Styela clava: one gene and its partner. The protein of the gene in region 1 interacts with the protein of each later gene in a pairwise test. Links are inferred from orthologs where the notes say so. Each region holds a gene or a part of one and is shown in the gene's direction. Other genes may lie near its edges.

Region 1 (15,817 bases):
GGTGGGCAAAATCGAATCTTTTTTCGAAGCAAATAATTTGAATATTTTTACCGAATATTCGAATAATGAATAATTTTTTTTTATACATAACAAAAATCCAGAACGTTGGAGGTCGATACTCTATTTGGAAATTGATAGAAACATTGAAAATTCGGCAATAAAGCGTTTTGTTTTTACTGGTTGATGGTTAATTTCATCATAATCGCTGATTGCCTTTGTCACCGCGATCGTTTCGGTGGCGATATCCTAAAGTTGGTATTCTATATTCCCGCCCGTCCTCGTTTTTCGCAGAAATAAGCGGTCGCCGAATATCGAAGTTTTCATATTTCTAGTATACCCTTGCGTTCACATCAGAGACAGCTGTTGAATACATTAAAGGATAATTTCAAAACCAAATCAATTTTATTCTAAGTTTAATCCTCTGCCTTGGATTTGGTCTTCCAATTCACCGCTTGTAAATTAACCGTGCCTGTTTAAAGTGAACGATAACCGAGATGCAGATATTTATTGAAATGATACTTGAGTTTCTCATGCTTTTCCATGGTGTTCGTGTTATTTTAGTATTAGATAGATAAACCTAGCAAATTTACGATTGCGTGAACCCTGAATGTTGATTTAAAATAGCGACTTCCTTAATGATTTCGATTGTGTCATTCCTTAATTATTACTGCCCAAATGCTTCAAAATTTAACAATTGTAATCATTTTCGATGATAATAGACGCAACAATTCGTAAACGAGTCAGTGTGCATTATTACAACGAAATTCACGATTGATTTTACGTTCTACTCTTGGCTCAACGGCCATTCATGGTCGAGTAAAATGTTTACATATTCGAAACATTACTTGGCCAAGGATGGAAGGGATCACTAAATAGCTAATACAAAGTGCTTTAAAGGGAGTAGGGCATGACATTTCTTATCTGGTTACAACTTCATGAGTGTTCCTCACACAAGTAACTCATACCAGCTTTTGAAAAAACTTTTTGTCATTTTTAAATCCATGCTATTTATATAACTAGAGTTTTCTAACGACCTAAAATCGCCTTTTTCACAATGAAACGCCGGAAAGTCATTTTAACATTTAATTTTAATTAACTTTATGTTCGGTAATGCAAGAAATGGCTAAAGACATGTCACCAATCATGCGGAGTTTAAAATCTGGGAAATTTATTTTAAATACCTAATCTGGTTCGACGTTTCTAAATTTACGGAACGTCGGTACATTTTTTTGCAAAATATGGAATTGAAACGATACGTTAAGTGCAACCATAGGCATATGACACCATAACGCAAAGACAACGACTTTTCAAATTTGACGTTTTTTTCTGATAGCGAGCGCCGTTGGGAAATCTCACACAATTCACGGTTGAGTTAGAGACGCGCGAGTTAGGTGTCCAAGCAGAGCGCCGCAGGTCACGCGGTACCGGATATTCAAATGGTAAAATGCCATTCGAATATTTTATTATTCGAATATTTTGCCCATCCCCAGTTGTTACGTGTGTTGTTGTTACGATGACTTGGTATTTTAAATACGCGCTTAAGGTTTGTTGCTATTTTACCTTGCGTTGTTTGTGTGCGGCTCTTCATAACTTTGAGGTTTGAAATGCGGCTCTGGGACTAAAAAAGTTTGAGAACCACTGGTTTACACTATGCTGATTTAGACCCATCAGTTGATTTAGTCCAGGGGTCACCAACCTTTTCGAGGCCGAGGCCTACTTTCTGGTTACAGATTAAGCTGCGGGCTACCAATTCAATGTACACTTCTAAAAAAGTCAGTTTGCTCGATTAAGCTTCATATTGATAATTACTGGTATTTAGTCAAGTAGAGTCACTGATAGGATTAGTGAATTCTTCAGAAAATCAAACAATTATCACAACGTAGCAAATAATTTTCTATCAATGACACTTGCATTTCAAAATTGAGTTGTACTATCAAATATTGCAGAGTGTTGTACTCCGGCGTGTAACTTGACACTGTAACTCTGACAAGTCTTGCAGATTTTCCTTAGTGGAGCGTGTTCCGTATTTGTTCCTGGTGGAGTGAGTCGCGGCGGTGTGGCCCACCGTGCTAAGCGTTAGGTTCACACGTTAGAATTCCATGCAGAGATATTTATTTGCGAGAGGATTGTTCTACTCCTCGCCGCCGTTGGGTAGTTCACGTAACCGCTGGTCGGTTACGGCTTCCTTTGCCACCAAGTCCATGCTTCCGAAAACAAATAACTAACTAATCCCATACCCGACATGGAATGGTAACCAGACGAGAGGCCGCGGCTCGCCACATGGTTAAGCCGTCTTATCGGCTATCTTCTCCCCTGGGATAAATATGTAAATCCCATCCTATCCTGAGTTTATGTCAAAAATGTTGATTCACAAAGATAGGTTGAACCAAACAATGGCCTCGTAAAATATAATTGCTGTATGATTGGAATCGCGAGCTTTGCTGCCCGTACTGCGCTGACCAGTGGATAGTTAGCGCGGTAAATTGCGTGACAAGATGTAAAATATCTCTTCGCTTTGCCGTCGCTACAATCTCCCCACAAATGAGACACACGCAGGCTGTTTTCATGGTGATAAAAATATATCCACCTCCCATTCATCGTGAAAATGATGAGTCAGGTTGATGGTTACAATAATTAATATAGTGACATTCCCAGTTTCCATATAAGTGTGATTAATACAAGAATAGCGGGACAAAATTTAATTGATGTAGCTTCCTCATAAGTGCCGTTATTAATCTTAGTTTGGAACGGACCTGCGGGCGACTCCCATAGTCTTCGCGGGCGACTTGGTGCCCGCGGGCAACGCGTTGGTGATCCCTGATTTAGTCAGTCTCACAAATGTCTTTTCCCATCAAAAGTTGTATTTTCGGTTGCTATCGTATGATGATTTCACTTCGGCATGGTGGAGGGTTTATTGAAACTAAGCAGTAATTATTGAACGATAGAACTAGAATGTACACCCGACACAATGCAGAGAAGCTGACGTCTATATAAAATGTTTATAAAAATCAAAAGACCAAATAAAAAGAAATTTAGGGCAGACAGTAATATTTCATAATTCATTCTATACAATGTACGGTGCCGCATTAGTATGTGATATACCTGTATATTTCTACTTAAACTTAGGATATACCTCAAAACATTCTCCCTATGGATTACTATTGAAAAAAGTTGCTTAATGAATGCTCAATTTGAGATCGTTTTGCAGTGTTTCCGATTATAAACTGGTTTACATTTTTAAACCATCATTTTTAAGAAGAAAAAAAATATCCAACCACGTGCCACTTACAAGTACTGTCGTACCAATAGCAAATTTTAGTCTAGTCTACCGCAGCGCTCGTGAGACTAAATTTTGATTACTGTAACCAAACTAAAGCTACTCGAAAGACATTATGACAATTAAGTTATTCAATCTACAACTATATTCTGGAAACATACCGGTAGCTAAAAACTGACACGCAAAACTATAGAAACGAGGGAATGGCTTATTGTTGCACACTAAATCTTGTAATTCGTAAGATTTTAACAATAGACACTAGAATAGTCATAAAAAGCCAATCGGAAATTCTGACGCCAAACGTGTTTTGAAAAGCCAGAGTTGTTAAATTTGGCGTTAAAAAAGTCAATATGGCAATCCTGTGCAGCAGCACGTTGATCATGCGTTGCTAAAACCACTGTTGACATGATATGACGCCTTATCGTATTAACCATTTTATCGTATTAACCATTAACCTGATTTTCTAAGTATTATGGCATAAATCATTCATTTTGTATAATGTATGATATAATTAACGGATTTTTGCGTATGTCCGCTTTTCAAAATATTTAAAGTTTTCGGTCACATTCCAGAGACATTCTGCTTTGTTTTTAGTAGGGCCGAAAGTGGATACACTGCGATGGTATGTGAAAAATGGCGGAGCTTCGCTGGTGTATTGGGCTGCCTTTCATTCAGGCTTATCGTTAGTCTTACATTTTTTGGACGAATAAACTGGGAAAAGTGATGCACTTTTGGTGTAGAGTTTGATAGGTTTCAACAATAAGCGTTTCTACTTTACGGACGATAAGATATGGACCCCACGACCTACCGTACTGACCTAGGGTAACCGTACCGGTACCCTTACTTACTGCTGTACTGGTAATGCGCTACCGTAACTGACAGACTGACACAACGTCCAGACGTCACAGTTTGCCTGATATTGGTTTAGTCGGACAGTGTTAGGGCAAATGGAGGGGTTTACAGATATATTGCCCCTCGAAATTTTCCGATCACTAGGTCTGTAGGTAGGGTAGCACAAAATGCAGAAATGGTTCACCGGCGCGGCGGTGTGGCTCAACGGGCTAAGCGTTAGGAATACGCTCGCCACCGCACCTCTAATTCCTCTGCGTGGGTTCGCAGGTTCGAATCCCATGCAGGGATGGTTATGTGCGAGAGGATTGCTGGACTCCTCGCCGTCGTTGGGTGGTTCACGTAACCGCTGGTCGGTTACGGCTTCCTCCACTACCGGCAGACCGGTACCAGTACCAAGTCCATGCTTCCGAAAACAAACAATATAACTAATCCCATACCCGACTTGGAGTGGAAACCGGACGACAGGCCGTGGTTCGCCATATGGTTCGCCTTTCCTCTCCCCCGGGATAAATATGTAAATCCTATCCTTTGACTTTCAGTCGCATTGGTAGTTGTTTGAAAATAGGTATAAGTTATATAACTTACACATACCGTAGATTTACAGATATTTAATCACCACCTGACTACAATAAGGACCAACGCACTTCACATCGTTGCGTAAATGGCAGATGTTCAACCCATGTGGAGTCGATGAGGACAATCGTAAGATTTACGGCGCGGTCGTTTCAAGTTGTTTCCGTTATTTACTAAACGCTGTCTTATAACTTTTGATCGTCTATTTTACCGATCATAGTTTTTCATCACCTAATAGGGGAAAATAACAAAATCATGTAAAAGTTGATCAAAATTTAGTCTAAAACACGAGGAATAATTTGTCATATCACTTATAATACAAAGATTATTAACATCTGGACGTTATTGTTCTGATAGCGCTTATACACTTAACATTGTATATATTCGCCAGATGAATATTATCGGGTCTTACTACTTACTGAATACAGCGCGAAACACCGCAAAGAGCGCGAAACAGCGCAAAAGAGCGCGAAACAGCGCAAAAGAGCGCGAAACAGCGCAAAACAGAGGAAACCAGCGCGAAACAGAAGGAAACCAGCGCAAAACAGAGGGAAACAGCGCAAAACAGGAGACGCAGTCATTACCACCTCCTGCCACGAAAGAACCACGGCGCCTCTCGCCATGGTTTTATGGCGCTATTTCCGGCATATTTACAAGGTTATGTACCGGATTATAGGTCATCATGCGAAATTTTATCTACCTTTTTGGTGCTCCAGAAGTATGTGCAGCAATATGTCGCACAACCTGAATCCGCTACACACACACACACACACATATACTATTTTCAGGTTGTGCGCCATCTTGGTGCACATACTTCTGGAGGTCCCTTTTTATCTAACCCTAACCCTAAAGCCAACCATATCCATGTGGAAAATGTTCTAAATTATGGTACCCAAAATGTGTCACCAGCAGGGGCAGACCTGCCATTACAGCATTACTGGCTACATACGTTGGTTTGTGTTTTTAATTTGCTGCCGTGGTACTCAAACTCAAAACAAGGTGCCCCGAACTCACTGCAAAATTTTTTTCTGCTTCACACTGTTTCCCTCTGTTTTGCGCTCTTTCGCGCTGTTTTGCGCTGTTTCCACACTGTTTCCCTCTGTTTTGCGCTGTTTCGCGCTGTTTTGCGCTGTTTCGCGCTGTTTTGCGCTCTTTGCGGTGTTTCGCGCTGTATTCAGTAAGTAGTAAGACCGAATATTATCTAGCATGTGTGTGGTCGATCGCATCATCAATTAGATCGATTTAGACAGTCGTGCATTAATTACTCTAAATTACTTTATTTATTGCTGGTTATGTTATTTATATCTACTCGGTATTATTTTGATACAACAGACTATGGCTCCCACAATTTTTCTATTTGAACTATGCCTCCATCCTAAATGGGTGGAGGAGTTTGAAATTGTCAAATCGAACGAGAACGTTTTTCGTGAATTTTCATTTTTAACATTTGACGCCCTGAATTTAAGATCCACAGAAAACTATTCATGTTTATATTCAACCGATTTTGATCCAATCAAACCAAAAGAAATTTGTTATTTTCAAATCTACGCTAAAGTTCCAGCACCCCAATGCGATACTGTGACTGTGACAAGTACAACGTATACGAAAAATACTTTTATGTATACTGATGTCTCTCACAGTTAATTTTTCATTTGCATTGATGTCCCCCTCTATCGAATGGCGGTATTTGGACGACTATAGCGTGGGTAGAATTCACGATTTGAGGCGCTTGAAAACGATTTGTCATTTTTTGACTAAACGTGATTTTTTTTGTTAAAAAATAAATTGGGCCGTACATAGCCTATTAAAGGACTTACTATTGAAACTGTAAGAAGCATAACATGGCGTAATTTAATCAAGATATAAATAATTGAAAATTTCATCTGGAGTTGCAAGGCATTGGAAGTTACCTACTTTTACAGTTTAATACCTCAAACCATTCTTCCATAAGTTGTCAGAAAAGTCCGCGGGACGAAATCTAGGTACTAATATGAATTTTAATATCAATTAAAAAAATATACAAAATAATGCACATGCATAAGTGCATATATATATTTCACATGAGCCCTATCTCTTGTTTAACTTTAGTATATTATAAATCATAGTCTACAAGAGTTTCAAGCGATTTCATATTTTCATGATAATGGCTATTATAGTGTGGTTATATCAATGCTGTATATCGGTATATGAATATTTTCTGTTGAAATTAGTAGTATGCGTTTAATATTATTTTCCCTTATTTCATCAACAGATTAGAAATATGTGGACAAAGCAATTCGCATTTTTTTTAGCATTTAGACTACTATAAACAGTGAGAAATTTAGTGCGAGTCCTCCTCAAGTTTCCCTGTAAAACAATCCATAAATAACATTGATTACTGTATATTATATTATTCAATTTGAAGCGCTCGAATCAATTTCAAATTTATTAGATTTTGTAGAAATGATCATACATAATTAAGAGCACTCAACGTTTCCTGGCATAGGAAATTATACTTGTATGAAGATATCCTATTAAATTGACTACAGCAGTTTAATAATAAAATGACAAGTTATTAGCAATTCTGGAAACTGAATTGTCAATTTTACTGTCAACGTCTTGATGTATTTCAAAATACAGAGCATGCATATGAATAACACAGGTTGAATGATTACAATTTACAACGGTGTCACTTTGGTATGCGATCACACTTGCTAACTTAATCGCAATCGCATGAAGACATTCTCAATAAATTCAGTTCCTATCAACTTATATGGGTCATTATCAATTACTTATTCTATTATAAGATAAAGTACGGTATATAGTACTTTAAAATCTATATTGAATGCTATGTTGACAGAAGTCATAAATGTATTACAATATGCAAAGCAGGTTGTAACAAGGGTTGTTAAAGCAGATGTATGACAGCAAGGAGTTCTGCAATCATTCGCCTCACAGAATTTACGGTACATTACAGAATTAATTTGAAGTCTGTCGTGAATGATTATCTCCGGTGCTGTAGCATGTTTGATGTTTCTTTTCACTAATTATAATTTTTGTTTCACTTCCACCATTAATGTGCTATTAATATTGGATAGGGATATATAGGAATTGATCATACATGTAGATTTAGGCAAAATCATTTTGTTGTATGAATGTTTCCATGAACTTTCATAAAAGAAATCATTTTCTCAATTTAAGATCTCATAGAATGGTAAAGTCTACCATCTTACTTTTTTTTACAAATGTCTACCTACCCTCAGAAGTACCTACTCTATTGCAAGACCCCTTTAGAGTCACAGTCTGTTCCGATAAAAGCCACTTTTTCAGTTGCCTGGCTGAGTAGCCTATGATATATACACCTGACTTTTTACTTTAAACTAGTTATTGCTGTAACGTTCCATAAAAAAATTATTTTTATATCACTTCATTTTATGTAGTTATACATATTGAATTAACAAATGTTTGATATAATGTAATGAGTATGCAATTGACGTGTAAAAATGCCTTGAAATCCTATAGAAGAATCTTCATATCAACACCCATATTAGGATATGACGTCTAGACAAGGGAACTACTCTGGGAGCGATGGCTCTGGAAGGAGTAAAGCGAATCGTCCAGCTTCATTTCCAAATAATAATTTAAGTTCAGTATCGTTCAAAGACTTGTCAAAAAGTTTTGGAAAACTAAAAGTACAAGGAGTTGAGAAAGAGGGAAGAAAAGGAAAAAGACCAAGTTTAACGGATTCCGAAGCCTCTGATAATGCGATAGCTTCAGTTAAATCCAGCCGGTAAATTAAATTTTTCTTTTATATTTGTAAGATTTATTTTATGATAAATTTGCAATCCTTATTTTCCTGCCTCATCTGCTGCTGAATCTTCGCACAATTTTGTGTGTTTGTGTTCAGAAGTTTATTTTACCTATTTTTAATTCTGTCATTTCATATACTTTGTTTGCATAGTTTAACTCTGCTAAACAATTTATTTTCATCATGATTTTTTCATGTCATTAACCTAAATCATATTTAAATTTAAAAAAATCAAACATAATTTTTCCTTTGTCTGAATTGTAGAAAAAGCAATGCTCTTAATTAATAAATAACACAAGTTTCAGCAACAAAGAAGAATTAATTATTTTATCATCAGTTATTATACCAGTTACTGGTGGCTGGACATAAGTTGTTTGTCATTAGCATTAGATCAGCATATTAGTTTTTCTGTAAAATATTATGTTATTTAGAAATAGAGGTGCTGGAGGAGGAGTAGTCACCACTCGAAAAGAGGATAGAAGCCATCATGCCCGTGCTCTTCGGGAAATCAAAGATAGTCTTGCTCCTTACGGTCCTTCAGATATCAGCGCAGAATCTGTCCAGAATTTGGCTTTGGAATTGAATGTAAATGTTGATCAGGTCAGTACTTTATAATATAATTTATATATATGTAATTTATAATATTTTCATGAGGCCTTTAAATTGGACACATGTTGTCAATTAGGCACAGTAATGCATTGGTTTTGTGGAAAAATATTAATATTTCGATGCAACAGGCTGCCGACTGCCAGTGTAATTCAGCTTTTTTATTGAGTTGTACCTTATGTCGGCAAAATATATATTTTTCTATTGTGATTACTGATTGATTTGAAAGAAGTCATTTGTGTGATAATGAGTACTGTATTTAGTATTAATCTTCCATATTCATTATCTATATATTGTTGGTTGGAAAATGCATTTAAAATGAAAAATTACAATTGATTTTTTGTGTTAAAAAAGGCTTTCAATATTTTGTTCATCCAACTTCTATCCACAATTTATTATCAATTTTATATTAAGAAATATGAACAAATAAATTGTATAATAAAGATATGATATTGAACAATAGATTATTATTTTGATATAGGCATCCCTATAGTTTCCAACTTCTGCCATGGTGTACTCTTTTTATATAATCTTTCATTATGTATATAACATTACACCAGTATCAACACAAACACCTTATTTTTACATCCCTGCTAATGCAAAAAAATGTTGATGTGATTTTTGAAATAAAAGAATATATAGCCAACTGCAAACAAAAGAAATACCACAATTTTTATCTATAAATATCATATGGGCCTTATATAATTGTGTCTCATAACTATGTTCAATCTTTGGCCATTCTTGAATAATTGTAAGTGAGGATTGGACTGGTTTCAGGCAGTAGATAAATAAAATAAAGATAGTAATTACAAAAGTATGTGTGGAATGTCACCCCATTGTTTACACAATCTGCCAGCAGACCTCTATAAAAGCATGTAGTAAAATTTTTTGTCTGTGGCTCTTCACAATCTCAATAAACTGGTATCGTAAATCATTATTATGTTGGAACTTGAATAAATTGAGCTTTGTGTTGTGCATTTATCTATAAAAATTTGGCCTCTGCAACATTCCTAGATTCCATTATCGATACTTATATTCTGTATTATTAAATGTGATTAATTTGTGTAATACAGATAATTAAAAATACAGTATTGGAGTTTGAAATAGTATTTAGGTTGCATATAGTTTATTGTTTTATGATTGGAAAAATTATTTTTCATTATAATTGACTGATTTTGGGGCAAACCTATAAAATATCTTTTATTTTTATATAAATATAATTTTTTTTATTCAGAATTTAAAATCTGGATAATATTATTATTTGTGATCATCTATATATGGTACACAATTTTTCACAAATATTGATTGCACAAAAAGCAGCAATTATCAGTCATTTTGAAGTATTGAATTGAAGGCCAATTATTGACTAAGTTTACAAACTATCTGATTGGTTGTAAAAAAATTACCGTAGGATACAAAAAATGCAATTAGGAATTAGATAGATCATGCTTTGTGTTATTATTTTCATATATGTTGCAAGATTAAATAAAGGATATCTCTATTTAACGCTGCTTGGCATTGAAGAATATTTACTTTTTACAGTCTGTTGCTGAAAATGTGGCGAAAAACTGCACAACACTTGAGGTTGCCAGAGAAAAACTGATTCTGATATTGCGTCGTAAAATGCAAAATGAACAATTCCTTCATCCCACCAATAATAATAACAATACTGGAATTCCTCCACCTATGTATCAGACAGATTACAATACAAGTAAGAAATGGAATTTTCATTCAAAATATTTTTCCCCTTTTATTCAACTTTTTATAATTCTAGTGTAATATTAATTCATAAAATTTAAATGTTTGTAAAATTGTTTATAATCATAACTTATTTGTTTTAGGTGACTACCACGTGCCTCAGCCGAACATGCATTTGCAGCGCGATCCGTACAGTCGAACGCATCGTGGCAGTCCAGATGGAGCTAGCCTCAGAGCAGACAGTCCGGTCGGAGTTCATGGCCACAATGGACTTCAAAGCAAAATTAGCCAAGTGAACAACTTGCGCCATAAAATCACTGCTTCTGAGTATGAATTATTGTCGAGTAAGAATCAGTTGGATCCAACAAAACAATTGCATAGGAAGTATGTGCCACTACCAGACAGGACACCTGCCACAGAGCCGCCTGCTTATCCTGGGAATCCAGCAACTTACATCAATTCTCCATATTCACGTCAAAGTTCCGCGAGTGATAATGGTTATGGTAATTATGTCAGAATTGTTACCAGATTCCAAAATTAAGGTTGAAATACAAATTGTGAACAAAAATTATTGGGATTAAAAAGTGGATATTGGTTGTTTTGATCTGAGACTGCTTTTTATTCCACGTCAATTTGTCCTACGTCCAAATAAAAATCATCTAAATTAAAATTTATTCTGTTTTTGAATCTTATTATTTGATAAGGTATATATGCAGTGCAATTGAAAACTGGAAATGTTTTAACAAAATGTGTTCTTACTTTCATCATCAATCTAAAGACATTGCAAATAGCAGCAATGCCAGTGGCAATAATACTTAGAAATTTGAAAAATTGCGAAATCCATGGCCGAATAATTTTGAATTCGGATAGTTATGATTTGCATTGAATTTTGATTTTCATATCCTATATAGATATGTTTTCAAGCAGAATGGCTATTCGTGAAATTTTACTCCCAAATAGCAGAAAATGTTTTTCTGTTGCATCAACTCCGTTGTAAGAGGTTGCTAAAGTCTCAAATAAATTTCTCTTTATTTATAGACATGGGCATGAATTCACTTCCACGCCCAAATCATCTCATGACGAATCCAACTAACACATCGGATGTTCAGTATCGTCGTGGACAAACACCTCCTCCGATGTCATATGACAACAGGTTAGTTGTCATAGTGACTCGATTACCTCAATTAGTCCACCCTATCATATATGTAATGGTATTTGACAACCATAATAAGGAGTTTATCTATAATAACTAAGATCACTGGGTGATTTTTTGGAGGTTTTCTCCAGCAAACTTGCATAGTTTTTATTTTAAATCAGATAAGGGCATATTGTTTGAATGTAAGGTTGCACGAGAGCTTTTTGTCGGTTATAAGATAAAATGGAGAATATTGAAATTTGGGGGAAAATTTTCATTCGAAATTTTCACAAATAAATAGGTGTTTTTCAAGCTAGTATCTAATAATAGTTTGCTAAACACTGCTAAACTATAAAAAAAAGTTACAGGAATTCAAAAATAAAAATGTTTGTTTTTGTCATTTTATCAAAAGAGCATTTTCAGGTTTGCCCCTCATGGTTAAAGCCCTCTATTTGTCAATCAGTCTTCTTGTGGTCTTTCTGAAGAATTTTCTGGGTTTTTTTTTCAGGGCTATCCCAAACAATCCCAATCCTCCAGTGAATGCAGGAATTGTTCCTGGACATGTACAACAAATCGTTCAGCGAATGTCACCTTCTACTCCGAGTCAGGAGGCAATGAATTTTATGCGGCCTCCAACAACAAGACAGAATCCAAATCGCCAGCCACAAAATGTGCCGCAAATGTCTTCGACAAGTGTTATGAGAGACAACCATAAACCCATTATCAAAGGTTTGTAAATAAAATAAAATTTGGGTTTTATTAGTAAGTTTTTGCTTAGATTTTACATAGGTGTACTGTAGTCCATAATTCATTCTAGCCAATTACTTTACAGGTAAAGATGTAGTAACACCAGTTTTGGGATGCTTTTTTGCATAAAGATAAGACTTTGATTTGACATAGATTATGATCTGGTAGTAAATTAAGAGTGAAGTCAATTTTTTGTTAATATGTATTAGTAGTGCATGAAGTTTTCTAAGTTTTCAAAGCACATTTCATTCAACGCTAATGTGGAATTATAATTCAACATAATTCGAACGACATTCCTGCGCATGTTGTTTTTTATTAAAATAATTGATCTTATTGAAACCACTATCTTTCTTCTGTTTTTCAGGACCCTCATCTGCCTCCAATATGTATCAATCATCAGCTGGATCTGGGGTAAACCCAGCCATGGCACGATACACCCCGAATCACCCACCACCCAGCTATACAGTAGCGCAGCAATTTCGTAACAAACAGAAGGAGCTTGACCAACCAACTTATACACACTCTGGTAAATCTACTGTATTTTTGCTCCCAAATATGTCCCGATTCCAAAAATGCATTCTTTATCATAACATTTCATAATATGTTTATACTCGAAATTGTCTCTCCCAGAGTTATTATCAAGCCAAACAATTAACATTTGTCATGCAATATATTTGGTTTGCAGATATTTTATATTTCTTATTTTTATACAGAATATTCATTCCTCCAATCTCCAAAATCTATATTATCATTTTTTATAATATGGAAAATTTGAAGAAATCATTGTGAATTTATAGAAATTTGTAATGTGTAATAGTTGAGAACTTTGGACAAACATTGTTTTTATAATTTTATTTTTATTTTTCAGATAATTCATCAAGGTATCCAGAATTGTCTAAATCTCAACAAGCACAAAACCAGATGTTGAATATTAATCCAACAAATAGGTATGTTTATTATGTTATTTGTTTAAACTTTTAATTTAAAGTTGTGATGAGGAATTTGAGCGATGAGGTTTCACTCCAGATTATGGGCTAACTCAGACTACTTTGAATTCCACTAACTCTTTACTTGAAGTTTTTTAACCGGAGAATTTCTTTCTCAGTATGGTTGATTTAATCCCAATTTCTGGTATTTTCTGCTCGAAATAATTTCTTTTTGCTCTATTAAGCTGAAAAATCATTATATGTGCCATTACCATATGCAATACAAATCGTGATTTTACTGTAAATACGGAATTCCACCTATATGTAGAGAGAACACTTAAAACAGGGGTCGGCAACCTCCGGCCCGCGACGCTTCACTGAATTATAGTAACACAACAGCTGTAACGTCTGTAACGTAACAGAATTTATTGTGAGACACATGTAGACTAAACTATATTATAATCTAACAAGTATAAAATTGACAAATACTCGTTTAATGAACTTCTAATTTAATTATAATTAGACAAATAGCAACAAAACGCTAAAAACTAAAACGTTTTTAAACCTACAAAAACAGGGGAAGTCCGTCACCTTATCAAGACCAGCACCAACAATGGACAAATCAAATAAATGGAGCTTTGATGGGAAATATCAATTACTCTACGTATCAACAACAGACATCCGGTCATTCATCCAGTCCTCAGTCTTCCATATCATCGGGATACCAGGTTTGAAATTGCTCTTTACCTACACGAACGAGTTTTTTATTAATTTTGGTTGGTAGTTCAATTTTCGGGACAACCAATATCAAAATATCTACTATTGTAACAATCAAATTTAAATGTAATACAATCGTACAATTATTAATCGATTATTTTGAATTTATTCAATGAGTTAGAATTTAAAAATGCAGAAACCTTGAATGAACAATAATTTGATTGATTTCCCTTTTTTTTCACAATTTCCATAAATTTAATGCAGGCATTTTTAGTCATATTGGGGAACTTTATGTGCTCAAAATGAAAATTTTTAAATGAAATGTTTGTGAATTATCCCTGGAATATAGAATTCAAGTTATCGAGTATATATTGATTTGAATATTTGATTCATTGTGTGCACCCTTGTTATGTATAATACTGATATAGGCCTATCATATATATTTTTACGATACCAGTCGTGTTCCATAATTATTATAATATTTATAATAATAGTGTGTTTCGAAAAGAATACTACAATCACACTATGGATAGCCCTATTACCTGGATAGGGCCTATTTCCATGTATCTTAAGTTCAGAGATATGATATTGGCACACCTCTTTTTGGATGAATTTGAGTCAATAAGATCAAAAATCGAATCTCTCAGATTAATTTATGTCGAATATTAGTATAATCTTAACCAGTGTTCTTCAAACTTTTCTCATCATGTCCCACTTGGCACTGCAAAAATTTTTTCGCAACCCTTTAGAACCAATGTGAGCTGGCATATTCTTGCACAAAAGAACGTCTCTTGGCACTGTCTCGGTTTTGGGTCTCAGTACTAGTTCCAAATCTTTTCAAATTTGATCAATATTTTGTTTTACATAAGTTAGTGTCAAAAAGATTTTATACACAGTGGAGGCAAAAGGCAGAAGAGTAAGTATGGCTCGTTCTGACAATAATGGGTACCGCGACCCCTATTGGGACCTCCAGTTAGATAGCCCTGATCCAGACAATATATATATTTCCAAAGTTGTTTTTTAAATTGAGTAAATTCCTTTTTAATTTCTGTTTTTTTTTCTTTGCAGATGGTGGGTGGAGAACCGTGTCATGCTCAATACCAAACGCTTGCCAGTCCGCCTATATTACGACCTATCTCAAGTCAGCCTGTCATGAAGTTGCAACCTATGACAGCCGAAGTACCTATGAATTGTGAGAGTAAGGATTTTTTTTTTTAGTTTTTGAATTGTGAACGTAATCAATGTATTTATATAAATTTATTTCTGTGTAATGTAATTACAATTTACATCCATAATATTTTTGATTTTACGAGTCATATTTTTGGCTTGCGTAGTAATGGGGGATTTGCCAACTTTGTTGGCATCACGTTTTTTAGTTTAATTGGCTAAATTGTGTCCAAATCGGGGGATGTTTAAGTCTTTTAAAACCAGTAGCCACCCTACTACAGTGTTACTGCTTTTATAGAGCTTTAGGATGAGAAATACTTATTATGAAACTT
Region 2 (16,062 bases), on another chromosome or scaffold:
AAATCCTATCATCCAAATGTTTTGAATTCAAATACTTTTGATATTCTGAATAGTCCACCTCCATTCCATTACTGTGAGTGAATTTTGCCTTATCATCAATGAGTTACTTAGAATTTTTGGCTTAATGCTTGTAGCAAATAAGATCCTATATTTGTAACCTACCATCTTTTGGTTTGTCCAACGTGTACCATAATTTGAATCGATCAGGATAAGACGCCACAAACTCTTCCAATTCTTCTCTGACTAGAATATCTTTCTCAGTCTGAAAAAATGAATGTGATAACTTAGAATTGGGTATTCGTTTCAATTGCAAATGTTATGATTACAGGGATAAGGATAACCAAAACCTAATTTAACAAGAGGATAACTTAGAATTGGGTATGCGTCTCAATCGCAAATGTTCTGGTGACAGGGATAAAGATAACCAAAACCTAATATAACAAGAGAGCTATGCTCAAATATATGGACATGTGGCAAATTCGGATTACGTCATGGCACACCGGAATATTTGAAATAAATAAAAGTAATTGCCTTCTAGCGAAAAATTTGATCTTTGAGCACTGAAAATTTTAAAGCGATTGGTCCAGTAATTAAAGAGAAAAGCGACTTTTTAAAAACATGTCAACGAACAAGAAGAGTGCCAGCATAAAATGCAAAACGATCGTTATGTCCACTGACGTGTCCAATAATGCATAGTTACTGCAGTTTTTATTCATGACTCTATAGTGACACCGTGTGTCCCATCACTAATTAGTTAAAAAGTCGCTAATTATACGACATAATTCATTCAAAATTAATAGGCTTCTAGTCCGAGATATGAGGAATGCAAATGCAAAATTTGGAGCAGATTCAACCTCGCCTTCGTGAGATATCGCGTTCATCTAACAGACAAACAAACAGACAAGTAACGAGAATATCGGTCAGAGACCGAAGACTTATCGATCGAAAGTTAGGGGATCCCCCAAAACAGCGCTCTTACTCCATAGTGACACCTTGTGTCCCATCACTAATTAATTAATAACTCGCTAATTATACAACATAATTCATCCAAAATCAATAGGCTTCTGGTACGACATATGATGAATGCACAAGCAAAATCTGGAGCAGATTCAATCTCGCTTTCGTGAGATATTGGGTTCATCTAACAGACAAGTAACGAGAATATCGGTCAGAGACCGAAGACTTATCGATCGAAAGTTAGGGGATCCCCCAAAACAGCGCTCTTACTCCATAGTGCACCTTTCTACTTCGCCTTTGTGAGATATCGCGTTCATCTAACAGACAAATACCTATCAACATACTTACCGATCTTAAGATCGATAAGTAATAACAGTCAGCGGGTCTGATCGAAGGCCAGAAAATGTAGGTTTCTAAGGGTCTTAAGGGTATAAAAAGCGTTTTAAGCTACAAAAAATGCTCTTTTTTACATTCAAAAAGTGTGTGTGTGGAAGGCAGGGGTTTCGCGACCCCCGTGGCCAAGTTCCTGACCGAGATGACCAGACTTTGTCTTTCTTTGCTGTCAGAGTCTCAACCTCTATAGGTCAGATTCATCAAATAGTAAGCAAGACCCTTTGTCCAGTTACCAACTGTATAACGAGAATATCGGTTGGAAACCGAAGACTTATCGATCGATAGTTAGGGGATCCCCCAAAACAGAAACTGCAGTTTCGATTCATCCGCTCTTGTAACTTGCGCACTGCGCATCGCACACACACACACACTCGGCGGGTCTCAAAATTCTCTCGCTTTACAAAAATCTAGATCACTATATCAATAATTGATTGATAACTCGCTAATTATACGACATAATTCGCCCAAAATCAATAGGCCTCTGGTCCGAGATAAGATGAATGCACATGCAAAATCTGGAGCAGATTCAATCTCGCTTTCGTGAGATATCGCGTGCATCTAACAGACAAACAGACATACATACAGACAGACAAATACCTATCAACATACTTAGCGATTAAAATCGATAAGTAAAAAAATAGTTCACCATTTACTTGTTCGAGATGGTTCCATTACATTTGAACCCACGTACATTTGAACCCGTAATTTGAACTCACAACAATTGCACCTGTATACTATTGCACCTATGGAAATTTTTTTGATTTTACGGATATTCGAACCCATACTAACCCTAACTTATGGATTTTAGCACCCTCATATAGATTGAACCCGCGGATATACGAATGCAAATGTATGGGTTCAAATTTACGTGAGTTCAAATGTGCTGTCACCGTTTAGAATGCATGGATGTTGCACAAAAATTGCATAAGCCTACCTGATTAGCAAACAGCAACCATAGCAAGCAGGAATCATCAGGATCTGTCAGACTTTGATGTACGATCTGTAACATTGGAGTAATCCCGGTTCCTCCTGCTATCATTCCAATCTAGAAGATAATTGACAAAAAATAAGACTTGAAGTTTCACATCCAATGTGACCTACATAGCACCATAACCACAAAGTGAAAATAAAGTTTAATAAACTAAAATCTTCCCCGGGACAGAAACATAGGAAGATTCATTTCAATGCTCAATCTAACATCGGGGGAAAGTGCACAAGTTTTCCTTTGTCCAAGAACCTGCGCAAAAAATATTAGGTAAGGAGTCCCTCATAATGAATAATGGTCCAGATTGTGCAAAGACATTAGAAGGGACAACAGTTTGGTTGGCAAGGTCATCCAGGTTTGAAGTAAGCAATCTGAAGATGATATTAGTCAATCACATGAGAGAGTATGATTTATGTTATCTAGCTAGCGTACCCTTGGGTGCGTCTGAAGGGGGTCATACTCATAGGGCTAGCTGCCCCGGCAGCAAATTGTACATGTGAGTCTGTTGCTTAGTTTGATGATTTAATTAACAATAATACAAACATTTCACTCTTACTTAACCCTTAATTTATTCATTCTTATGTATAACAACATCTATAATTTGTTTATCACCCGAATTATTTTGAAGTTAGGTATAAGGAGCATCATTACCAGAAGTTCGCCCAGGTAGCAGAAGAGTTTGCCACGTCCTTGAGCATACCTCATGCTAGTTGTGATATCTAGTGACTTGTTTTATTTTCAGTATAATAGTTGATAAAAACCTAGGAAACTACCAAAATGAGATTTTCTTGACGGTTTGTTTAATAGAACCTGAACCAGTTATGAAATGCCAGCATTTAAACAGTGCAAGTAAATCAGAATCTTACTTTTCGGACACTTTTTTTCATTGGCTCCGACTTTTTATCAGGTTTGATGGAAAACAAACCAGGTTTTTCATAAATAAGAAGCCCATTTGGCCCTCGAACATCAATTGTATCCCCGATGCGGAGACTTTCCAAATATTGAGACATTTTTCCTCCTTCTGGGAACTTGGGGTGAACATCTTTGAAATAAACCTATATCAGAAAAAATTTAAAAAAAATTTATTATAGAGAGAATGAGCTCAGAGCAAGGTTATTGGCACTAATTCGGAAGTAAGAAGGCTCTAAATTTCTGAGCAAAATTATTGTCAGTGGGCACTATAACTGTTTTATATTATATTCCCATGCGATACTCGACACTAACTGGTAACCAGATGAGAGGTCTCATGTGGAATACTGTATTGTGGCTCCCATTGTTTCATGTTGATTTTCAGCCTTGTCTACAAACATCGTCTATTCTCCGAGTTAATGACACAACAGTATGGTTCGTGACAGGATTGAGTCTCCAATCTCCATATCATCGATGTTACCTTATTGCAGTAAAGTAATAAAATTACAATTAACATTACCTTGACAACAAGATCCATGTGTCCCTTATCTTTATCAGATGTCACCGGGGTGTATGGCCTAATTATCAATTTTCCATTGATAACAGCTGATAAGTAGATATGCTGTCCGATAGGTAGACCAAGGATATGCTCTGATGATGGTAAAGTGAACACGAAACGCCTGTGGAAAGCGAATGGATTTTGTTATTTCGAGATCATGCAAGAAAGGGTGTCAGGTTCTTAGCCAGAGGGGGGAGGGGTTGAGGGTCAAAGCCAATCTTTTAAAATGAAAAAAAAAAAGATTTTCAAAGCATTTTTCTTCTGTATCATGCAGAGCCTTATTTCATAGCTTGAAAACCCTTAAAACCCAGAATATCCCTCCTGACCGGCTAGCAGATACGGTCTGACTTGGCAAGTATAAATCTCACATCCCTCCCCCTTATGATGTATGATACTTCCTGGCTATGCACCTGATTACAAAGACGAATTAAGAATATATTCTGTATCAGAACCTATTTCAGCACAAATAGAAGCTTAAAATTAACAATATTTGTTAGTCAAATGTCTTTTTCGTCATGTGAATACCTTGTATCATGAGAAACAATTTCTTTATCAGCCAATCTAAGTGGATATTTGACATCAGGATCCAGAAGTGTTATCTTTGGTTGATTTTTCTTTCGCTGCCAAATGAAGTATGCAACAGCACAAACAACTGAAATCCCCACAACTGAGAATCCTAGAAGACTCATCTGAATAAAGAACATAGATCAAAGTTACCCAATCAGGAAGGGATTTACATCTTTATCCCGAGGGAGCCGATAAGACAGTTTAACCATATCGCAAACCACGGCCTCTCATCCGGTTACCATTCCATGTCGGGTATGGGATTAGTTAGTTATTTGTTTTCAGAAGCATGGACTTGATGGCGGATGCAGGCGTAACCGACCAGCGGTTACGTAAACCACCCTACGGCGGTGAGGAGTTCAGAAATCCTCTCGCACATGACCATCCCCACATGGGATTCGAACCTGCGAACCCATGCAGAGTAATCAGAAGTGCGTGGCGAGCGTATTCCTAACGCTTAGCACGATGAGCCACACCGCCACGCCATTCTTGGGCAGAAATCGGCTCGGCGCGGCGGTGTGGCTCAACAGGCTAAGCGTTAGGAATACGCTCGCCACCGCACCTCTAATCACTCTGCGTGGGTTCGCAGGTTCGAATCCCATGCAGGGATGGTTATGTGCGAGAGGATTGCTGGACTCCTCGCCGTCGTTGGGTGGTTCACGTAACCGCTGGTCGGTTACGGCTTCCTCCACCACCAAGTCCATGCTTCCGAAAACAAACAATACAGTAAAACTAATCCCATACTCGACTTGGAATGGTAACCGGACGAGAGGCCGTGGTTCGCCATATGGATGAGCCGTCTTATCGGCTTTCCTCTCCCCCGGGATAAATATGTAAATCCTATCCTATCCTAAATTTTGCTTAGAATTTGCTGTCCTAGTATTACTACTAATATTCTTCATTTCTTTATTAATATCATAATTGATATCGCTTACTTATTCTACTACCAAAACTGTATGAAAGTATGAGTGCGACTTGAGCATAACACAGAGCAGCAGAGGCAGGGTTTTTATGTTTAGTTTTTATGAGTAACTAGGAAGGAAAAAAAACATTAAAAATAGGTGAAAGGAGGAATTTAATGAAAAAGATTGGTATTCACTGACATAGATGGTTGGTAAATAGGTTCATTTCTATATTTTTAAAGCCAGGTTATTCTAACTGGGGAGGAATTCCCCCACTAAGAAGATTTTATTGTCTTACAGGAAGAATATCTACTTTGAATTTTGGTGTAATTTTCAGACATCAGGACATGGAATAATCAAAACAGCAAAAGGATTTATGAAAGGGCCTCACATTCACAAATACAGAATTGCAAAAACTGCATATCAGAACGATAATTGCAGATACAAATCTTTTTAATATGATCTAATTTCCGAATGCAAAACTGAAAAGAAAGAAACCATTTCCCTATTTATCTTGCTTAATCAATTAACTGGCAAAAGTCTACGGTATACCGGTACCAGCCATTTAAAATGTAATAGATATATCGCTCACTGTTGGAGAAGGCTTCATACGGCAATCCTGATTAGATGTGTCGAAAAAAAACGAACACTCAGTACGGTAGGTCACGTTCGCATCAAGCAAATACAAGAACCGCTGCAATGCAAACACCAACGAAGTTATCGAGTCAAAATTTCAAATTGCAGTGCGTTGCGTCACTTTCTAATAAAATAAATAGATAAGATATCAATCTTTAATATTAGCCACTCTTTTAGTTATTGCACAATGAATTTAATACCGGTACGAGTAATTGTGTGAAGAAAATGGATAAAGTCGTTGAAGAATGATAGTTGTGCAAAAGTTATGATAGGTTCGAAGGTCACGAGTTCAGGTCGGGTCAATCTCGTCTGAAAGTTACTCAAGTATATCAGCGATTTATTTTATTTCTGGAAATTTTCAGGTTTCCTCTTGCTGTCTTGACTCTTTTGCGTTTGTTTTCACGTCGTTATGGTTTTTAGCCTGCTGATAAGTTTTGAATTTTAGAGATATAATTTTTTAATTTTGTGATTTGTTTCAAATCATATCGTATTGAATGATAGCTAGATAAGATGTTGTCTGACATTGATCAGGTGATGAACTTGCTGACCTGTAGGCCTACTGCTGTACTGTGTCCATAAACAAACTTTCACACTTGCCGTCGTCTTGTGTTTTAGTTTCGCTGATAATGAGACAATATTGTAATAATTCAAAGGCTAGATAGATAGAGAATTACTACCGGTAGGCTACCGGTATTTCAGCAACTTTCAGTAAGTTTCCTTTTTAACTGTCTTTTTTTTAATTAAGAAATGTGTAATGTCTGAATATATTCTATAAAGTTAAACATATAGCCTAATTGCATTTCTGACCGTCATATATTTTAAGAACACCACTCGTCAAAATATAAATAAAGTGCCGTACCGGTACGGTACCGGTATCACAGCAATCAAACAGACAATAACACGGTGATCGCAAATTGGTCGACAAAGATATTATCGACGTATTTGAAATGTGCACCCCCTATTCCCCCTCCTTTAAATGTTGGAACGCAAAACTTTAAAGATGGTTAAAAGAAACACAACTCTACCCACCTGCTGACCTGCCAAGTTTCATCTTTTTATCTTTTAAATTTGTATAGATTTTCAAGCTTTTTGAAGGAACAATGGGTACCGGTAGTTGGCGATATGAAAAAAGGGTTCGTTTTTTTTTCTTCGGGCGGGTTTTCGATCGTAACTTTTTTGTTTGTGGATGCATTTTAGTGTAATTTCCCAGAGCTACGAGGGACAAGTGGACGAAAGCGCGTGAGGAATATCGTCATGGTTCGTTAGTTTGATGGCCGCAAATAGGTCGTGGCCGCAAAGTGGGTAAGCCATCCTATTTATGATAGTTGACATGAACCCATGATAATACTATAATACAATTCTGAGGTTGATAAGACATAGCAGGTTACTGCTGTGCTGACAGATTGAAGTTAAAACTGCAGGATGTTGACCGAACCAGGTCAGTAAGTCTATTTTTTTTCCTATTCCTATTTTTTTCATTTTACTTTGATCGCTTCAACTCCAGTAGCTCTGTGGTCTAACAGTTGAATCTAAACTATGTTGGTGTTCTATTTGATAGATCTCTGTATAAGTCTCTATTCCAGTATTTCCACCATTTTTTCAGAGTCTGTGAAAATAACATTTGTTAATTTTAGTTTAAATAATATGGCTTCTTGATAATCGCTTCACAATTATTCCTGAATTGATGTCACTAACATCATTTATAAGAGATGCCGTTCCCACTCTTCAAGAAAAAGAAAAGCATCAACATCAGAGTATCCACTTTGGATGCGGATTTAGAATTTACGTAAGAAGCACAATATGGTACTCCAGAAGTATGCACACCAAGATGTCGCACAACCTGACCTAACCAGTACACACATACTATGTTCAGGTTGTGCGCCATCTTGGTGCGCATACTTCTTGGGGTCCCACAATATTATTTTACTAATTATTCACCCTATCAATCATTTGGTTAAATTGTTGGTGTTGGAAAATTCGACTTTACTGGACAACTAACGAACCAAGCGATTCCAAATATTCAAAACTTAAAGATGGTAGCCGTTAGAACCTTAATGAAATTTATATTTTTTTCAAACTTATGAGTCATTTTGCTGCTTCATTTTAAATGATGCGGACATTTTTTAATAAAATATGAGAACACTTTATTTCATCATAAGATCATTATTGTCAGCTGTTTTATTTTGCAAACTTTGAATGCTAAGATTGCTTAGTAAATTTGAACTTTTTGAGTAAGTTGTAAAGTTTGTAACAATTTCGACTTATTTTATTACCATTGAATATCTGAACTTATCTCAATCCTATTGAAATATATTCTTTTAGGGTCTCAAATCAAGTGAAAGCTCAAGTTGTATTTGATTTGATATGTCGGACAATCGGTCTGAGAGAAACTTGGTATTTTGGTCTCGCATTTCATGATGTCAAGAAGAGGTTTACATGGATAAAACTTGACAAAAAGGTGACAAGAAGCTTTCTTTTTTTATCGAGATTGTTGAGGAAGAGCTACAATTCAATACTCCCGAAGTATGTAAACCGGAACGTAGTATGTGTACCAGGTTTAGGGTTAGGATATAATTTCAGGTACAAATACCACAGGAGTCACTTGGCTATTCCCCGAACTCGTTGAAATAAACTTATTGTCTAACCCTAACCTGGTACACACACTACGTTTCAGTGTCTGCCATCTGGGCACATACTTGGGGAGTACTTACAATTCACTTTGAAGTGACAGCATTGACTTATTCCTAAACCACCATAGAAATTTTCACAATGAGAGAACATATAAATTATTATTATTTATATAAATTCACACAGATGAAATTTGATAGGTAAAGACGTAAAGTGTTTATTTTCATACAGATCTATTTTTGGTTTTATTGGATTGCAGCTAACTTTAAAATGATGTCTTCTGTGCCAAAATCCACTTTGAAAAATTGCCTCAATTGTTGAGTATTCACTGGGCAAAAACCGAATAAAAATAAGTCCATGTATCGATAACAAATAACTAGTTATGAAAAATTGCCATACTCCATATGGAATGGTAATCGAACGATAGTCCATGGACGAGAGATTTTCAGAGATTTATTTTCTTAACATTCTCATGAGGGATATTATTACCAATCATTGTTTACTATTTGTTCGTCATTCGTTTACTAATCCATTCTTTATATTCAGCTTCTGAATCATGCAATTCCAAAACCAGTGAACGGCGACAAACTTGAGTTGAAGTTTCTCGCGAAGTTTTATCCTGAGTCAATGGAAGATGAACTTATACAAGAGGTCACGAGACACCTGTTCTTTCTGCAGGTAATATAGTGTTATTGGATAAGACCTATGGATCGTGTTAGTGTTTTGTTGTTATTCTTATTTGTTTTTTTCCTCAATAAAAAATCACTTCTCTTCGGATACTGGACCAATTGCTTTGAAATTTCCAGTGGTTGTAGATTGATTTTTTTGCCAGAAAGCTATTTCGGTACTTCCATTTATTTCAAATATACCGGTGAGCTGCATGGAATTCATTTTTTGTGTGCTATGATGTCATCCGAATTTGCCACTATGTGTGGCTACATGTCCATATATTTGAGCATAGCTCTTTTGTTTTGCTCTAATCATGGTTCTATTGCTTAATGCTATATTGTTTCACTTGATTGTAGAACATTTGCACTCGACTCTGACTCAAAATTCACTGCCATGTAAAAAAAATCATTTTGGCTTTATCTCTTGGTTCTTTGTTGATAAAAATTCATCTCCAACTTCTTTTTTAGCTTTTTATTTAATTAATTATGACTATAGTTTAGTATTAATTAACTAATTAGTATTATCAATTGTCCATTTATTAATCTATTAATACTATAAGGCTGAGCGAGCTAAGCTAAGACTTTTCATTGTGAGAATTTTTTAATTTCTTGTGTATATCGAAAAACTATTTTTTTTGTGTGGCTGTGCTAGATGGTTGGTTCTAGATATTCCATATTCATAAATATTTTAACATAACTAATATCGTAGTGTATCCAGTTTACCACTCTGTTTAGATACTTCCCCGTTCAGCATTCCCTTCCTAATTTATTTTTCTAATGTTGGACTATATTTACAGATTCAGCATTTAATATTGTCTGAAGATCTTTACTGCCCTCCAGAGGCATCTGTACTGCTTGCCTCGTTCGCTGTTCAAGCAAAGGTGCGTGTTTTCATTGATATATTGATAGATTTTGTATTTTGTTGCATCGGTGAACATTTATTCTCAATTTGGCATAGGATAGGATAAGTTGGTTTAGATCAGGATTTCTCAAATTTTCGATTTCACTGAGCCCATGAAGAGGTTGACTCTTATTTATGGAGCCCACAATATATTTATTAAAATAAACACAAACAAAAAATACATTGTTATTCTTTGAATCATGTTTTTGAGAAACTTATGAATAAAGTCATATTTGAACATCCGCCTTCTTGCCAAATTTCAACGCTACAGTTGTCAAATTTTATTGATGCCGTTTTTGCTTCTTTGGATAGTTATTAAAGTTAGCCAAAAGTCTCACGGAACCTCGGGCTTCGTTTGCAGCACTTTGAGAAAGTCCCATCTCTCTGCAAACCTTTCAGAGAGAGATGAGACAATAACTTAACCTAACCTAACCGAAACCAAGAAAAATATCAGATAACAGAATAGTATCTCATAATTTGGTTTCAAATTCAAGACAGTCAATAGCTTGTATCAAAATTTCCAAGTCTTTGTTTCCACTTCCACAGTGTACTAGAAGTAATTAATGTTTGATGAATTCAATATGTCATGCCATACAGGGTTTGAGTCATTTGACTTAGGAATGCCCAAAATGGATATTCAAATAGTACATGATTGACTTTTTTCAATACAGTATGGTGATTATGATCCTGAAATCCATGCACCAGGATTCGTTGAGATTCAGGAATTATTACCAAAACGTGTCATTGACCAATTTCAAATGTCTGAGACGATGTGGGAGGAGAAAATAACTTCATGGTAAGTTTTTAACTTCAAATTTTTTTGTTTTGAATTTATTGTGGGTGCAATTGCCTCCACTCCGTTCTCATTTCGAGCTTGCAACACATAGCATGATACAAAATTGTACATAAACTATTATAACACGATGGAATGTTTGATATCGCCAGTTACACTTTTCTCCTCTCAATGTTAATTTTAGAAGATTTATTCATTTTGTTTAACTGTGGCTAGGTAAAAAAGAAATTTTATATATTGTAATTGTATCGCTTGTAATTTATATTTCATGACATACTTCGAACCTCAAAACAAACCCTGGCTATTCCCCTGAGTATGAAGCTGGTATGTTCGAAAAAAAAATGTAGTTTTTATTTTTAGTCATAATAAAACGTGTATGTGTATGATTATTCCTAATTCCCATGGACAGAAGTAAAATGCCTTATTAAAAAAATTACTACGGAAGTTCAGATTAGCAAAACTTTATTTCCAACCCCCATTATCGATGTCCGAACTAGTTATCTCCTAATCACAGGTACACAGAACATAGAGGTTTGACACGAGATGAAGCTGAACTAGAATATTTGAAGATAGCACAAGATCTTGAGATGTGTGGAGTTTCATATTTTAGTATAAAGGTTGGATTTCTTATTTTACAGTAACGACAAAATCTGTGATAGATGCTGATTAATATTTGAAAACTATTTTATACGCTCTAAATTGCAAAAAACGCTACTGGAGGATGAATACGATTAATTACAGCGCAAACTGCTCATGAATTTATTGCCGTGCCACCGAGATCTCAAAATATACACTGAGATGTGTGCACGATGCCCGATTTTCTTATAAACACTAAAAACGATATTTGAATAATAAATTCGTTTTGGACATTCCTGGTGGCCGCTTTATCCATGCATTTTCTCTAATGAAATTTATATGAAACATAACAAAGAAAATATATATTTTTTTAGAATCGCAAAGGAACATCACTATGGCTTGGAATAAATGCTGTATCCGTATCAGTATACGAAAAAGAAAACCAACTGCACCCAATCGTATCGTTTCAATGGAGCGAGTTATCGGACATGTTATTTAACGATAATAAGTTCACAATAAAACAGAATCCATCTTCTCGTTCCGCAACGCTTCGTCGAACGCAGTCTACCAGTGCAGAAGAGTCATCACCCGCTGATATGATCGATATGAACAAAAATGATTTCATTTTTTTCACTGATGAACCGGGGATAAATAAATTGGTGAGTTGCATGTGTTCCAGTAATTTTATTGCGAGGAAAAAAAAACGTGCAGGGTGATCAGAGGTGCGGTGGCGAGCCTATTTCTAACGCTTAGCATGATTCGCCACAACGGCGAGCCGATTATAAATCATTTTGAATGCGAGAGAGAGAGATACTAATTTATTTTCAAGTATATCAAAAATGTACAGATTACAATGGATACAAAAAGCAATCATGAAATAAAATCAGGGGGGCCGGCAAGACTACAAGGTCAACGATGTCGTCCGACCCCTAAAAAAAATTGGTGCTCCAGAAGTATGCACACCAAGATGTCGCACAACCTAAATCCAACCCGATACACACATACTATGTTCAGGTTGTGCGCCATATTGGTGCGCATATTTCTGGAGGTTCTACTGTAATATAAAAATGTGGATTATTCTAGTATAGTCAACAGAAACTTAAGTAAACCTCTGATCAGAAGTCTAATTTTATGCATTCGGATATTTGATTCATTTTTAAACATTCTTTCTATACAAAAAGTCATTTACCGGTACTTCTTTTTACATTTCAAGATCTTAGAACTCTGCAGAGGAAACCATGATCTTTTCATGCAGAGACGTAAAGTTGACAGCATGGAGATTCAACAGATGAAGAGCCAGGCACAAGAAGAAAAAGCAAGAAAACAGGTCAGTTTTTTCTAATACAGGTTTATTCAAACCAAGCTTAGGGGTTTATGCCAGGGGTATCCAACCTTTGTCCCACAAGGCGAAATTGTATACTTTGAGGAGAAGCGCCAGTTTTAAATGGTGTTCATTTAGTTCTTTGTATCTGGCCCTCTTGTATGAAAGGTTGTACATTCCTGGTTTAGGCATTAGACTTGACCGTGGTGGAACTGCAGGGTAAAATCTTGGGGTACAAATCCTATTCCAACCACCCAAGGTGTAATAAATAGGGCAATGTTGAAATATTCCATTCTTACATATTAGTTGCATCTTGTGAAGTGCCTAGTTTAGAGCACTCATAATCACTTCACACAAGTAAAATAATTCTTGTGCTTAAGAATCACATGTTTCTCTTGAGAGTTTAGTAGAGGCTGCTATAGCTAATCCGTCCTAATTGCAATCATTAGGAATGCTTAATTACTTAAATCCCACCACAAGTTTAATTGTCTCATTATTTTTATTATTGGATAATTGTATCCTATTAGTGTGAGAGATTAGGTATATTTGAGTTGGAAAATGAATTGAGTTACCCTTAGAGAGAGAGATTTTATTTTTGGTCAACCAAAATAAAAGAACAATTATCGTAGTAATTAAATATAATAACACATGATGATTTAGTTTGATATAAACAGGCGGGAGTGATACGACCGGGCGGTCATCAAAGTCAACTCCCCCCTTATTATTAAGTTCAAGATTTAAAATTTCAGATGACTAGATGTTAAGGTATAACATTTTAGAATTTGAATTGTTTTAACATAATGGGATTTGGAATCCACCAATCAAAATAACACAATGAATACCGCTGGAGTTATAAACAGGGGGGCACGCACCATTAAAGGTTGGAAACCACTGATCTCACATTTCTGGTGCTTTTATTTTCTAGATGGAAAGAGCGAGACTTCTCAGGGAAAAAGATGAACGGGAGAAAATACTCATGGAGAAGGAAGAATTGGAACGAAAGTTAGTTTTACATTTTCAGAAATTGAAATCATTAGCTAGATGTAACTATCAGTAGAGGGTATGCGAGACCAACTCCCAATTTTTCCTCAATGTTATTGCGCTAGTGGATTCGTATGAGTATAATGCAAGGATGCTGTAGCAAGAATTGTTGTGAACTGCTCGTCTCGTGAGGGGGTGTCTTCACCCCTTTAAATGAACTTCTACACCTTAATGTGGGGCGCGCCCCACCGTTTTTAACCATCTGTCTAAAAAATAATGTCCATTAACTATCTAATAACAATCAACCATATAAATAGCCTAGTATGGTGAAGTCTTATCCAGACCCTTGTTTTAAGCAAAATCAAAAATATCGCATTTTTTAAAACGTTTTTTTTTCATTCGAAGGCTGAAAGAAATGCAAGATGAGAGTAAAGCTGCCCTAGATGCTTTGGTAAGAATCATCACACAGAATTGCACTAAATATATATATATATATTTTCAAAAGATGTTGAATTCAACAATAAATTTGGGAACAATTAATGTTGCTCCAGAAGTGTGTGTACCAATATGGAGGTCACTAATTGTGTTCGCCTACTTTACATCAAGTTGTGTAAAGGGACTGAAACCTATATGGGCAGGGATATATTCACTTGACCAACACAGACAGTCTCCGAACTCGTAATAGAACTAAAATAAGGAAAATCTGAATAAACTTATGGCCCAACCCTAACCTGGTACACATACTCCGGGAGTACCAAATTAATTGTCCTTCTTTGAGATTGAATAGTGCTAGGAAATAGCCACCCATAAAGTTTCCCACATAAATATAACCCTAAGCAGCTCCTCCTTTATGAATGGCTGCTTATACCAAGCCAGAGTGAATATGTGAATATGCTTCATAAAAATAGCTAAATATCTGATTCACTCTAAATATCCCGAGTTGTAACTGTTAATTCAGTTCAAAAGCATTTTTAATAATTGTCCAGAACAACAACTAAAGTAACCCATAAGCAATACTAACTGATCTGTGCCCCAGACTATAGAGAGCACCTGGCTGCTTCACTTTCACTGCTGATTGGTCATGATTATTCATCTGTGACTGAAGACATCACAGGTCGTGCTTAGCCATCTGGGAAAATGCTAGTTGCCAGAAATACAATAAAGATACAGTTAACATTATCATCCTTTAGAGTCGTTCAGAAGAAACTGCGGAATTATTGGCAGAAAAAGCAAAGGTAGCAGAAGAGGAAGCAATGCTGCTAAAAAGAAAAGCCAATCATTCAGAACAAGAAATGCAAAGGGTTAAAACAGAGTTTGCAAAGGTGAGCAGACTCATGATTCAAATTTGATCAGTTTCCCAGGATCTTGGGTCAAAAATTCAAGTGTGCCACCGTACTAGGGCTATGAACTAGATAGGTATTGCATATTTTTGCTTCATTGAATGCATTCATTTTACTTTTGAGTGAACACACAGGTTATTGTTTGCCAAGTATTTACAGACTACGGATGTGGCTCATCGTGTTAAGCTCTAGGGAAACACTTGCCATGGTACCTCTGATTACCCTGTGTCGGTTCGCAGGTATAGTTATGTGTAAGAGGGTTTCTTGAATCCTCGCCGCCATAGGGTGGCTTGCGTTACTGATGGTCGATTATGGCTTCCTCCACCATCAAGTCAATGCTTCCGAAAAACAAATAACAGGCTAACTAATCCCATACTTGACATGGACTGGTAACCGGACGAGAGTCGCTCTATGATTAGGCTGTCTTGCCGGCTTTGGCTCCCCCAGGATAATATGTAAGTCGTATCCTAATTCTATTCCAGATTCTAATGCTGTATATTGGTGCATAAACGCTAAGCTATGAGCCAAACCGAGTCAATTGGCTATACAAGGTTTCTATTCAGACACAAATCCTTGAATAGACGTTCACTTCTATATGTTGGAATTTTATCAGACTCGTACTTGAGGTTTTTTAAAGTTTCATGATATTTGTCATTTAATAAACGTAATCACCATTGAATTTCTGTCTTCAGACCCAAGAAGCAAATATTCAACTCCAACAGAAACTTCAAAATTATGATTTGATGACACATCAGTTGAGAGAGGAGTCCAGGTCAAAGTAAGCAATTTTAAACATTTTCACCTGTTTTTTCCAATCATATATTTTATGTGACACGGCTGCTGCGTATGCAATTTAGAATACATAGTGAAGTCACCATGAAATCTATCAATATCTTGGTACTCCTGTAGTGTGTGTATCAATTTATGGTTAGGCCATAATTTCATTCCG

The links.
Region 2: the proteins of uncharacterized protein LOC120339853 (region 1) and merlin-like interact in binary tests that used the Drosophila melanogaster proteins (3 or more experiments, as listed by UniProt). The link is inferred for Styela clava from reciprocal best matches to the Drosophila melanogaster genes wts and Mer.

The regions. Positions count from the first base shown.
Region 1 is NC_135250.1:10,606,811-10,622,627, reverse strand, and holds the start of uncharacterized protein LOC120339853, read left to right. Parts: upstream 1-8,117; 5' UTR 8,118-8,235; coding exon 8,236-8,471; intron 8,472-8,920; coding exon 8,921-9,089; intron 9,090-10,637; coding exon 10,638-10,806; intron 10,807-10,936; coding exon 10,937-11,296; intron 11,297-11,831; coding exon 11,832-11,946; intron 11,947-12,436; coding exon 12,437-12,657; intron 12,658-13,039; coding exon 13,040-13,201; intron 13,202-13,543; coding exon 13,544-13,622; intron 13,623-14,178; coding exon 14,179-14,329; intron 14,330-15,386; coding exon 15,387-15,516; intron 15,517-15,817. UniProt on the Drosophila melanogaster protein: Negative regulator of Yorkie (Yki) in the Hippo/SWH (Sav/Wts/Hpo) signaling pathway that plays a pivotal role in organ size control and tumor suppression by restricting proliferation and promoting apoptosis.
Region 2 is NC_135252.1:22,928,986-22,945,047, reverse strand, and holds the start of merlin-like, read left to right. Parts: upstream 1-7,482; 5' UTR 7,483-7,614; coding exon 7,615-7,691; intron 7,692-8,227; coding exon 8,228-8,363; intron 8,364-9,079; coding exon 9,080-9,211; intron 9,212-9,998; coding exon 9,999-10,082; intron 10,083-10,773; coding exon 10,774-10,898; intron 10,899-11,409; coding exon 11,410-11,512; intron 11,513-11,845; coding exon 11,846-12,130; intron 12,131-12,684; coding exon 12,685-12,798; intron 12,799-13,717; coding exon 13,718-13,794; intron 13,795-14,178; coding exon 14,179-14,224; intron 14,225-14,963; coding exon 14,964-15,095; intron 15,096-15,805; coding exon 15,806-15,891; intron 15,892-16,062. Other genes in the region: NADH-cytochrome b5 reductase 3-like, read right to left, coding at 163-262, 2,285-2,395, 3,202-3,390, 3,765-3,924, 4,329-4,492, 5,862-5,879. UniProt on the Drosophila melanogaster protein: Regulator of the Hippo/SWH (Sav/Wts/Hpo) signaling pathway, a signaling pathway that plays a pivotal role in organ size control and tumor suppression by restricting proliferation and promoting apoptosis.